3 linked regions of the Macaca mulatta genome follow. The protein of the gene in region 1 purifies or fractionates together with the protein of each later gene. This does not show direct contact. Links are inferred from orthologs where the notes say so. Each region holds a gene or a part of one and is shown in the gene's direction. Other genes may lie near its edges.

Region 1 (3,652 bases):
AGTTAACAAGGTTCTCTTTGTCATAATACACAGCAGTATTTTATAATTCCCTTTAATGTTTATTGTTTGGTAAGAAAGCTTTCAGTTCATGAAAGTACATGCAGAAAGGAACTTGTTGGAGAAAAGACCCAGTCTTATTGATTGGATAGGCAGTTCCATTTCAGGATTTCCCAAATTCTCTGGATAAAAGAATTTTCTAACCTCATTAACTTCATATCAGACCCATTGATTCAGCATCTCCAGGGGGAGACCTAGGAAGCTATATTTTAACAAGTAACTTTTTGTATAGATGTGGAATACAAGGTTTAGAGAGGTAGTTCAAGGTCACATTTATCTTTTGGCAACATTAGAACTAGAATTAAAATCTCAGTCCTCTTTCTTTGTGGTACGTTCCTTAAAAGAGAATCGAAAGCCTACAATACAAGTGATTAAAATGAAAGTAGGAATGGGGTAGAACACAGATCAGTTGTGACTAACAACCTTAGAAAGAGACCATTGGTAAAAGGCTAGTAGAGTTTAAAGGCAATATTTGATGGCTAAGAAAGAAAAATTCTGAGAAGAAGGATGTTATAAGAAACTGCTTAGTGATCAGTGTAAATATACCCAAATATATATTTGGAAGGAGAGCTCCGTCTGTATGAGTTATTGACTAAGGGAGCTGGGAGCTTTTAAAAAAAAAACAGTCAAGTGAGATGATAAAATATTGCCAGTCAGAAAGCAATGCAAAGTTTCACCTGTTTAAAAAATACAGAAGCGATTCCGGACTAGCCTAAATAGGCTTGCAGCGTGGGATTGAAAGGTCCCACCTGCTGGAGCCCCTGGGAATTTATTAAGGCAATTTCAGAGTAGACAGGTGAAGCACAAAGGAAACCTGAGCTTAAAGATCCATTGACTTCTTGCTGCTTTTTAGTTTTATAGTTACTTGACCATCACAGATTCTGTGTTTTGCTAGTGCATATTTTTTTAACAATTGTATAAATAATTTTAATGTTAAGCAAAAACATAATTGTATAATATTTTTTGTCAATATATGTCTTCTTAAAAATAGTAATAATGTGGCTTTAAATACAACTTGTATTAAACAGGTTCAATTGTGAATATTTTTATAGTTATGCAATCCAAAGGAATTATTGTTGGGTTTGCTTGAACTGATTGAAGAGCCCTCTGGAAAACAGATATCCCAAAGTATTCTTCTTTTGCTTCAGCCATTACAAACAGGTAATGAGAATTTTGATATCAGAGTACTTCTTGTATCTTTAAGTGCCTTGATGGTTACCCCAAAATGTCAATACTACACCAAAGTTTACAGCTAATTAGTGAGTACTCTGCTTAAACGAATAATAGCAATGCCAATGTGAATTCTGCTGCTCATGGAAAGATTATAGTATCTGGCCAGAGTGGGTACCCAGTAAATATTCTGTTGAATGTCATACTATTTTTCATGTGCTGTATTGAAACCTATACCTTTTTGCCTAACCTTCCTATCTGCTGCTTAAATCTAGAATTTTCTCCCGAAACATATTTCAAGGATTACCTCTGTGGTGTCTGCAGTACTAAATCTGATAGCATTATAGTAGTCCAGAAGAGTATCAGGCAGGGCGTTGCTCAGCCTCTGCTTTGGGAGGTGGATTGGGCATAGCAAAGGTACTACTGAAGAATGAAACGAGGAGATATGGCATGATAAGGCTCCATGGCTGAGTGCAGTAACAATATTGGTAGGTAATGGGTCTTGGCAACCGAGGCAGACAGTATCCATGGGAAGAGGTTATTTTTCATTTTAGGAAATTCATTTATCTCACAGTCTGATAGAGGGACCTGGAATCAGAAATTATATTTGTTTTAAATATGAATGCCTACCAGCTTCATACCACCTATAATATTCTGTCTTCTAGGGGAAAAAAATCTAATAATACCACCTCCTATTTGTATAGTGCTTTGCAGTTTACAATACACTCTCATATTTTGTGCTTATAACACAAAAAACATGGAAAGAACATGTTTGTCTTAAGTACATAGCCTGTTACACATAGTTGGTTATAAACATAACCTAAACAGCATTTCATGGCAAGATGCTGTGTTATTTTATGCACAACTAAGAAGAAAAAAACACTGCCAGTTAGACTGTGATGTGTCATCTTGATTTCAAGAGCTGTTAAAATATGGAAGGAGGAGGTATCTTGTAATTCCACATTTGCCGAATTTCTTGTCCCATGTTTAGCATACTTGATGAGCGACAACTTGATCTTTGTTCTAGTGATTCAGAAACTTCATAACAAGGCATATTCAATTGGATTAGCATTGTCTACCCTTTGGAATCAGCTATCTCTTCTTCCTGTTCCATACTCAAAAGAACAAATACAAATGGATGACTATGGCCTTTGTCAGTGTTGCAAGGCCTTAATAGAGTTCACTAAGCCTTTTGTGGAAGAAGTCATTGATAACAAAGAAAACTCACTGGAAAATGAAAAGTTAAAGGATGAATTACTGAAATTGTAAGTATAATTTTAAGAACATCTCACAATGGACTTAAGTAATTGATAGTTCAGTTATTTTATGTTTCTTCACCTTGTTTGACATGTAAATAGAAATCTAGTTTCACGTTTTGAATTTCAGAAGAATGTAGGGTTCAACTCATACAGCATGGGGACTTGAGACATTTATATTTAAAAAAATTATAGGCCGGGTGTAGTGGCTCACACATGTAATCCCATCACTTTGGGAGACTGACATGAGAGGATTGTTTGGGGCCAGGAGTTTGAGACCAGCCTTGGCAACATAGCGAGACCCCCATCTCTACAAAAAAAAATTTAAAAATTAGCTGGATATAGTGGCATATACCTTAGTGCTACTACTTGGGAGGCTAAGGCTAGAGGATGGGTTGAATCCAGGAGTGTGAGGCTACAGTGAATGATGATCGGCCACTGTACTCCAGCCTGGGCAACAGAGCAAGACCCTGTCTTTAAAAAACTAATTAATAAAATAATTATAAAACCAAAATCCATTCATTTACTTTATATTCTTCTTTGTATTGCCTTTATTCATCATAGTAAGTGAATAATGAAAGTGGGGGAAATAGATACATGTAGCTCAGGGTGAGTATGGGAAATAGATATATGTAGCTCTGTGGAGAAATTGTGTTTTACTCTTTCAAAGAAAGCAGCAGAAGGACCACCAGACAGAACATCCAACTTGACTACAAAAATAGTAGTAGAGTATCCACCCAACAGCATTCCCTCCATGGGTGCTATAGACTAAACATGTACTGTTCAATATGGCTGTAGCATGTGACATATGGCTGGTCAAAATTCAGATGTACTTTAAGTATAAAATATTCCCTGGATTTTGAAGACTTGTTATTAAAAAAAAAAAAAAAACAAAAAAAAAACAGTAAAATACCTCAATAATTTTTATATTGATAACATGTTGAAATGACAATATTTCAGATATATTGGGTTAAGATAAATTATTAAAATCATCTCTCCCATTCTTACTACTTTTTTCATATGTCTACTAAAAGATCTTAAATGTAGGGCTATGTTATATTTCTATTGGACAGTGATAGACTAGATTATTTAATTACATGGACCAGTAATTTTTAAATTTTGGCTACTTGGAGGCTGAGGCAGGAGGATCACTTGAGGCCAGGAGTTCA
Region 2 (3,652 bases), on another chromosome or scaffold:
CTTTGATTTCTGAAGGAGAATGTTAGCTTCTTACCCTTTCAATCGATTTCCTCTTTTGTCAGTCGTGTCTATGTATATATGATGAAAACATAAATTGAGCAAGCTCCTGAGGTTTCCAACTTATTGTACATATATCCAGAGCTGTTGTGTTTTTTAAGATAAAGCATTGTTCTTGGTTTTATTATTTGTATAAAAGTTTCCCATTTATTTTATACCTAAATAGTAGATAAGGTTACTACAGGATTAAAGAGTTTGACTCTGAATTAATGGGGCATACACTTTGGGGTAAGGATTTCTTTTTATTCTTATGAAAGTTACAGATCATACTAAAGTAAGTTTTGTATTTCGTGTTTCCCACTTTTAAACCTCTTTTGTTTTTACCACTTTAAAATATTATACATGTACAAACATCTTTAATAGAATGCGGAGCTGCTTTCACCAGCAAACTTGAAGGAATGTTTAAAGACATGGAACTTTCTAAAGACATCATGATTCAGTTCAAACAGGTAAAAGTGAGTTAAACTCTTACTTAATTCCTCGAACTTAGTTATATTTAGTTATCCGCTTGCTGTGATTTGTACTGAAGAGGATAAATAGAAACGTGTTTGTTGTAATTACTTCATGGCAACTGAGGTGATATTCACAGTAGAAAAAAAACCATTGGTGAAATATAAGTATATTTGACCTACTTTAGGATTTATTTTTAACAAACACCCAGAGTAACACAAAAATAAAAATAAAATGTATTGAACTGAAGTCAGTACAAGAAGAGCTATAGTGGGAACAGGGCTTTCCCCAGCGTCTTATCATTTGGTGATTTGCATGTTCAGAGCTTGCAGTGGGGAGAGAGGAGAAGTGATAATGTAGCTGTATAAAGCCTTTGGGGACACTGGGGATAGAAAGCTAGATCCACAGTTTTGAAGATGTAGGTAGAAAGTAGTTTTGAAATGTTTAAGAACATAGGTGATAGTGATGGCAAGTTAGATTTTCCTCTTTTGGGGTTTTAGTAGTGACTTCTTTACCCCACAATGTTGCTAAGGTGGGAAGTGGAAGTGAAAGAATTAAGAAAAAATCAGGGTCAGTAAGATTATGAATTCTATAGTAGCTACCGAATGGGGCTTATCTGCTTTGCCCTTTTCCCCTCTTTTTCCTTCCCTACTCCAGGCCACTCCCTGCAGACAGGCAGTGGAGCAAGCGAAAAACTGGAGACTTGGGCTGGCTGGTGGGGTGAGGAATGGGGATTGCTGCAAGATGTTTAAGCCATGTAGGGGTATTCAAAGGTGGGGACTGCAGGTGGTATTGGGGAAAAGAGTGGAGGAGAGATCCTATAACAGCCCAGCTGTATGTGAGAAATTATTTAAGTTGATAATGCCTGTAATGAGGTCATGTGATCCTTGTATGCCTTTGTATCAAAATGTTAACCTCTGTACTTGCCTAATGCATTTTGTGTAGGCTTCATTTAAAGTCCTCTTAATAATTGCCTTTTATTTTAAGGATGGTCAGTGTTTGCATATAATTTCATAACGGGGAACTTCTTAAATAGGTTATTATGATACGAAATGTATGCAGTTTTAAGATCTCAGTGTGTGTTTTGATCTTACAGTATATGCAGAATCAGAATGTTCCGGGAAATATTGAATTAACTGTGAATATCCTGACAATGGGCTATTGGCCAACATATGTGCCTATGGAAGTTCATTTACCACCAGAGGTAAGAGTTACTGTTTAGAACCTGAGTTATAGGCATAGAAATCATAACATTTCCATTTTGCTTGTCATTTAAAAATAGATACTTAGAAAAAAATAGAGACCCAGGGCCTCGCTGTATTGCTCAGGCTGGTCTTGAACTCTTGGGCTCAAGTGATCCCCCCTGCCTCAACCTTCCAAAGTGCTGGGATTACAGGTGTGAGTCACCAGGCCTGGCATAGATACTTTTAAAAGTGAATGTCAGTAAACACACCAACACCAAATACCAACTGCTTTAATATTTTACTTTTGTACTTCTAAGTCCAGTTAAGAGCCTAGCTAATAATGCCAAAGTTCTGGGTTCAGGATCAATTTCCCTGGCTCTTCTTCCATCTTCACAGATTATACCCCTCATTCTACCTAGTTATTAAGAATTCTTGCACATATTTCATCCATAGGTGGGATTGCTAAATGATGGGTGCTTGATTAAATCTATCCTGACTCCTGGGAAACTGTCTAGCCCAGGACTGAAGTCCATAAAAGGGATTAAGGCTAGACAGCTAGATATTGAGAATCCTCCATGGAGATGGTTATGAAGGCCCAGGGAGTAGATCTGTCTCAAAGAGGAAGAAAAAACAGCAGAGGCAGAACTTTAGAAAAGGCTCACATTTGGCAGATGGTAGAAAGAGGAACCTGTGAAGGAAACCAGTGCAGAAGCAACAGTGAGATAAAGGAACCAGCATAGTATAGAGGCACAAAAGCTGCTGCAGGTCAATGTTTCAAAAGAGTGGATGATTAAATGGTTCAGATAGAGCAAAGGGTATAAATCCTAATAAATCCCATTTGATTTGGTGGTTGGGAGATCATTATTTTTCATCAAAGTGATTGGTGGACCTACTGGATATAGTCTTAAAATTTTCCAGAAATTATATCACATGAGGTAAGTATAAAAAGTGGTAAATGTGGTATTGGGTATAGAGCTTAAATAAAGCCTTATTTTATTTACTTTAGATGGTAAAACTTCAGGAGATTTTCAAGACATTTTACCTAGGCAAACATAGTGGCAGGAAACTTCAGTGGCAGTCAACCCTAGGACACTGTGTGCTTAAAGCAGAATTTAAAGAGGTAAGTGGATGTTCCCAAAACTTTTAGTTTTCATCTTTGTCTTTAATATTTAGGTCATCTTTCTTAACTAAAAGGTTAGGCTATTGTTTTGTGTTTTTTTTTTTTCAGACAGAGTCTCACTCTGTCTCAGGGTGGAGTGCAGTGGCGCTATCTTGGCTCACCGCAACCTCCGCCTCCCAGGTTCAAGTGATTCTCCTGCCTCAGCCTCCCGAGTGGCTGGGACTACAGGCGTGCGCCACCATGCCCAGCTAATTTTTTTATATTTTTAGTAGAGACGGGGTTTCACCATGTTGGCCAGGATGGTCTCTATCTCTTGACCTTGTGATCCACCTGCCTCAGCCTCCCAAAGTGCTGGGATTATAGGCATGAGCCACCGCGTTTGGCCAGTTTAAGCTATTGTTTTATAATTGTATCCTAGATATCCGCATGACGACAGTGAGAGCTTGTCATAGCTTTATGTATTTTTAAGTAATTTTAGCTGTGTGGTCTTTCCACAATTGATTTGGCCCTTTTGCAAAACGAAAAGCAATGAACTTTTCCCCTACTCTTTCCTCACCTGTAGATGAAAACTTTACACTGCCACTTCCTATTTTTATTTATTTATTTACTTTTAGAGACAGGGTCCCACTCTTGTCACCCAGGCAGGAGTACAGTGGCACAATCACAGTTCACTGTAACCTCAAACTTATGGGCTCAAGCTATCTTCCTGCCTCCGCTTCCTAAAGTGCTGGGATTACAGGCATGAGCAACTACACCCAGCCTAACACTGCCACTTCTTGACAGAAATTTTGTTGCTGGGAGCTACGAATAGAGTGGGAGTTAAGGGGAACAGTGTGCAATA
Region 3 (3,752 bases), on another chromosome or scaffold:
CCCAGGCTGGAGTGCAGTGGCACGATCTTGGCTTACTGCAACCTCCACCTCCCAGGTTCAAGCAGTTCTCCTGCCTCAGCCTCCTGAGTAGCTGGGATTGCAGGCATGCACCACCACAGCTGGCTAATTTTTGTGTTTTAGTAGAGATGGGGTTTCACCACGTTGGCCAGGCTGGTCTCGAACTCCTTACCTCGTAATCCGCCTGCCTTGGCCTCCCAAAGTGCTGAGATTACAGGAGTGAGCCACTGTGCCCGACCCTAATTTTTTTTGAGACAGGGTCTCTATTGCTTGAGTGCAGTGGCACAGTCAGCTCACTGCAGCCTCAAACTCCTGGGTTCAAGCAATTCTGCCTCAGCCCCCCAAGTAGCTGGGACTACAGGCGCACGCCACTATACCAGGCTAATTTTCGTATTTTTGTAGAGGCAAGGTATCACCATGTTGGCCAGGCTGGTCTCAAACTCCTGAGCTCAAGCGATCTGCCTGCCTAGGCTTCCGAAGTGCTGGAATTACAGGTGTGACCCACTGCACCTGGCCCTGGCTAATATTTTTTATTTTTGTAGAGATGGGGTCTCATTATGTTGCCCAGGCTGGTCTCGAACTTCTGAGCTCAAGTGATCCTCCAGCCCCGGCCTCCCAAAGTGCTGGGATTACCGGCCTGAGTCCTTGCGCCCAGCTCTTTGTTTTCAACTACCTAGTTCCTACTGTAGGACCTTCACTTAGCTTCAACCATCTTGTGCTTTTCCTTTTTCCTCTCTCCTCTCCTTGAGTCTAAGAAGCCCCCAAGGGTTTTGCTGTCAACACTGTCAAGCGCTTTCCCCCACATTGTATAGAATCTCCATCTGTTTTCTCTGTCAGGTGCTGGAAACGTGCATAGCAACAGTAGGCCGAGTATCCAACGTTGATCATAACAAACGGGTCATTGGCAAGGCAGGTCGCAACCGCTGGCTGGGCAAGAGGCCTAACAGTGGGCGATGGCACCGCAAGGGAGGCTGGGCTGGCCGAAAGATTCGGCCACTACCCCCTATGAAGAGTTACGTGAAGCTGCCTTCTGCTGCTGCCCAAAGCTGATATCCCTGTACTCTAATAAAATGCCTCCCCCTCCTGTAATCTGTTACTGGTTTTTTGCGGGAGGGGATGGTACAGACTGAACGTGGGGAAAAGAAGTAAAAAGTGTGGGAGGAAAAGAAAGTACAGGACACTGGGTCTGTCCCCACCCCAATTCCCTTACAGGTAATGGAGCCGGGGGTGGAAATAAATGACGTCCAAGGCCTTTTCCAGTTGTGACTGGGAAACAGGGTGGGCACTTCCGCAGGAGGGAGGACAAAAGGAAGAGGAAAGGGCGGCGCAGAGGAGGAGGTGCTGCGTCGCCAAGGTGGCATCCGCGGCTCCTCCCCGGCCCTTTCCCAGGGCCCCTAGCCTTCCGCTGGGTCCGGCGGAAATGAGCCGTGGCTTTTGGCTGGCGGAGACGCTGGCAGGGACCAGGCTCCACCCTGCCCCAGTGGCTGCCGACCCAGGCGGCTACCGCTCTGTTCCGCAGAGGCACGCCCCTTCCTGTCTCTCCGTCTCGACCCCCTCGCGGGGCCCAGGTGGGGCCCGAGTCGCCGCCAGCATCTGTGCCGCGTCCCTTGCTCTGTGAAGGACAGGCCTCGCGCCAGGACCCCGGTGGACTTCTGAGGTGGCCAGAGCCCCGCCGCGGCCCCTTGCTCCTCTCCTGCCCACTTGCCCATCGAGCCTTGCGCTCACCCAACCTCGGTTCCCCATCCTACTGGGCCTCGGGGTTCTAGTTTATGGGGCCTAATCCCCCCTCCCCCACTTTACCGCGCGCCCCTGGCTTCTCGGGTCTCCAACCTCGGTCCCCCAAGCCTCGCGCCCCTCACCTACCTTGTCTGTGCACCCTGCCCTGGGTCTCGCGGCGCCCCCACCAGCCCTTTTGTTCCAGTTGCTCCAGTCGCTCCAGTCAGAGGCGCCTCCAACCCACCAGTGCCTCCTCCCAGTCCATCGCGCCTTGCCCTCCCACTCCACCACCAGTTCTCAGGTCTCTTAACTCTGCGATCTCGGGACTCTTAACTTGGGTCTCACACTCCCATGCTCCAATCCTTAGAGACAGCACCCCTTTCCACACACACTCAGGATCTCCCTCCCAAACATACCCCTCTGGGCTTCACATATCCCCAGGGTAGCTGCCTGTTTCAAGGCCTTGGGATTCACTTGTAACTCCAAGGCTGCCCTGCCTGCCCCCACTAGTCTGCCCACTGTTCCAAACCAACCCACTCCAGGCCTCAGGGTCTTGGGGACCTTCCTTTTAGCCCCCAAATTTTGTGTTATTTCACAACAAAACACCCCAGTGTTCTCTGCTTAGGCCTGCCCCGACTCAGCATGCAGCATGCAACTCCTGGGCCTGGCTTTACCCCACCCCGCCTGACAGCTGTTGCCATTTGCTTCCCCACCTCCTGGATGTCTTTGATTTTCTGACCTCTCCTTACTCTAGCTTGTCTGTTCTCTTTTCCTTGTGTGCTCCAGGTGCCAGGATGGTGGGGGAACTCCGCTACAGGGAATTCAGGGTGCCCCTGGGGCCTGGCTTACATGCCTATCCTGATGAGCTGATCCGCCAGCGAGTGGGCCATGATGGGCATCCTGAGTACCAGATCCGTTGGCTCATCCTGCGGCGTGGCGATGAGGGTGACGGGGGCTCTGGCCAAGTGGACTGCAAGGCTGAGCACATCCTGCTGTGGATGTCCAAGGATGAGATCTATGCCAACTGCCACAAGATGCTGGGCGAGGATGGCCAGGTCATCGGGCCCTCCCAGGAGTCTTCAGGGGAGGTTGGGGCCCTGGACAAATCTGTGCTGGAGGAGATGGAAACCGATGTGAAGTCCCTCATTCAGAGAGCCCTTCGGCAGCTGGAGGAGTGTGTGGGCACCATCCCTCCTGCTCCTCTACTTCACACTGTCCACGTGCTCAGCGCCTATGCCAGCATCGAGCCCCTCACTGGGGTATTCAAGGACCCAAGAGTCCTGGACTTGCTCATGCACATGTTGAGTAGTCCCGATTATCAGATTCGCTGGAGCGCAGGCCGGATGATACAAGCCCTGTCCTCCCATGATGCTGGTGAGGGGCAGTGTGGGGAGGAAGGGAAAGCAGAAGGGCTGGGTCGGCTCAGGGACTCACAGGACACTGTGGCAGGAGCCTCTGATCTCATCAGTACGTAAATGATTCTGTTGCCCTTCTCTTAGAGTTGGAAGAAAAGGAGGTGGGAATGGGAGTGAGGGTGGGGGTTATCTGCCAAAAGAGGAAAGACTATCTTCAATAACCTCATATTAATTAGTTGCTTTTTATGCAAAGGAAGAATTTACAGTTTAGACTATTGTAGATGGTGTTTATGTGCGTGTGTGTATGTATATAAGTTGTCAAATTTTAGCTTTTGAAGCAAATCAGTTCTTTCCCATTGTGTGATGGCAAAAGGATTGGATTGAAAGAATAGAGGGTCTAAGATTTCTAGGAAGGGTGAGATTAGGGAGAAGTTACTAATTGGGATATGGGTTACAGGGACCCGGACTCAAATCCTTCTGTCACTGAGCCAACAAGAAGCCATTGAGAAACACCTGGATTTTGACAGCCGCTGTGCTCTGCTAGCACTGTTTGCACAGGCCACGCTCTCTGAACATCCCATGTCTTTCGAGGGCATTCAGCTACCACAGGTAACCTTTGGGGGTATAAGGTAGGGGGAGCTTGTGAACAAGATCTAGGGACCA

Evidence for each region.
Region 2: the proteins of GLMN (region 1) and CUL4B purify together in Homo sapiens (affinity purification with mass spectrometry; 3 studies listed by BioGRID and IntAct, counting the BioPlex papers as one, with this or other methods). This does not show direct contact. The link is inferred for Macaca mulatta from reciprocal best matches to the Homo sapiens genes GLMN and CUL4B.
Region 3: the proteins of GLMN (region 1) and CUL7 purify together in Homo sapiens (affinity purification with mass spectrometry; 4 studies listed by BioGRID and IntAct, counting the BioPlex papers as one, with this or other methods). This does not show direct contact. The link is inferred for Macaca mulatta from reciprocal best matches to the Homo sapiens genes GLMN and CUL7.

What each region holds. Positions count from the first base shown.
Region 1 is NC_133406.1:148,035,483-148,039,134, forward strand, and holds part of GLMN (glomulin), read left to right. Parts: intron 1-1,109; coding exon 1,110-1,218; intron 1,219-2,254; coding exon 2,255-2,492; intron 2,493-3,652.
Region 2 is NC_133426.1:126,934,794-126,938,445, reverse strand, and holds part of CUL4B (cullin-4B), read left to right. Parts: intron 1-420; coding exon 421-512; intron 513-1,603; coding exon 1,604-1,711; intron 1,712-2,697; coding exon 2,698-2,811; intron 2,812-3,652.
Region 3 is NC_133409.1:139,074,401-139,078,152, forward strand, and holds the start of CUL7 (cullin-7), read left to right. Parts: upstream 1-1,287; 5' UTR 1,288-1,438; coding exon 1,439-1,586; exon of another isoform or gene 1,587-1,675; intron 1,676-1,939; exon of another isoform or gene 1,940-2,035; intron 2,036-2,520; coding exon 2,521-3,201; intron 3,202-3,546; coding exon 3,547-3,698; intron 3,699-3,752. Other genes in the region: MRPL2 (large ribosomal subunit protein uL2m), read left to right, coding at 856-1,068. UniProt on the Homo sapiens protein: Core component of the 3M and Cul7-RING(FBXW8) complexes, which mediate the ubiquitination and subsequent proteasomal degradation of target proteins. Core component of the 3M complex, a complex required to regulate microtubule dynamics and genome integrity.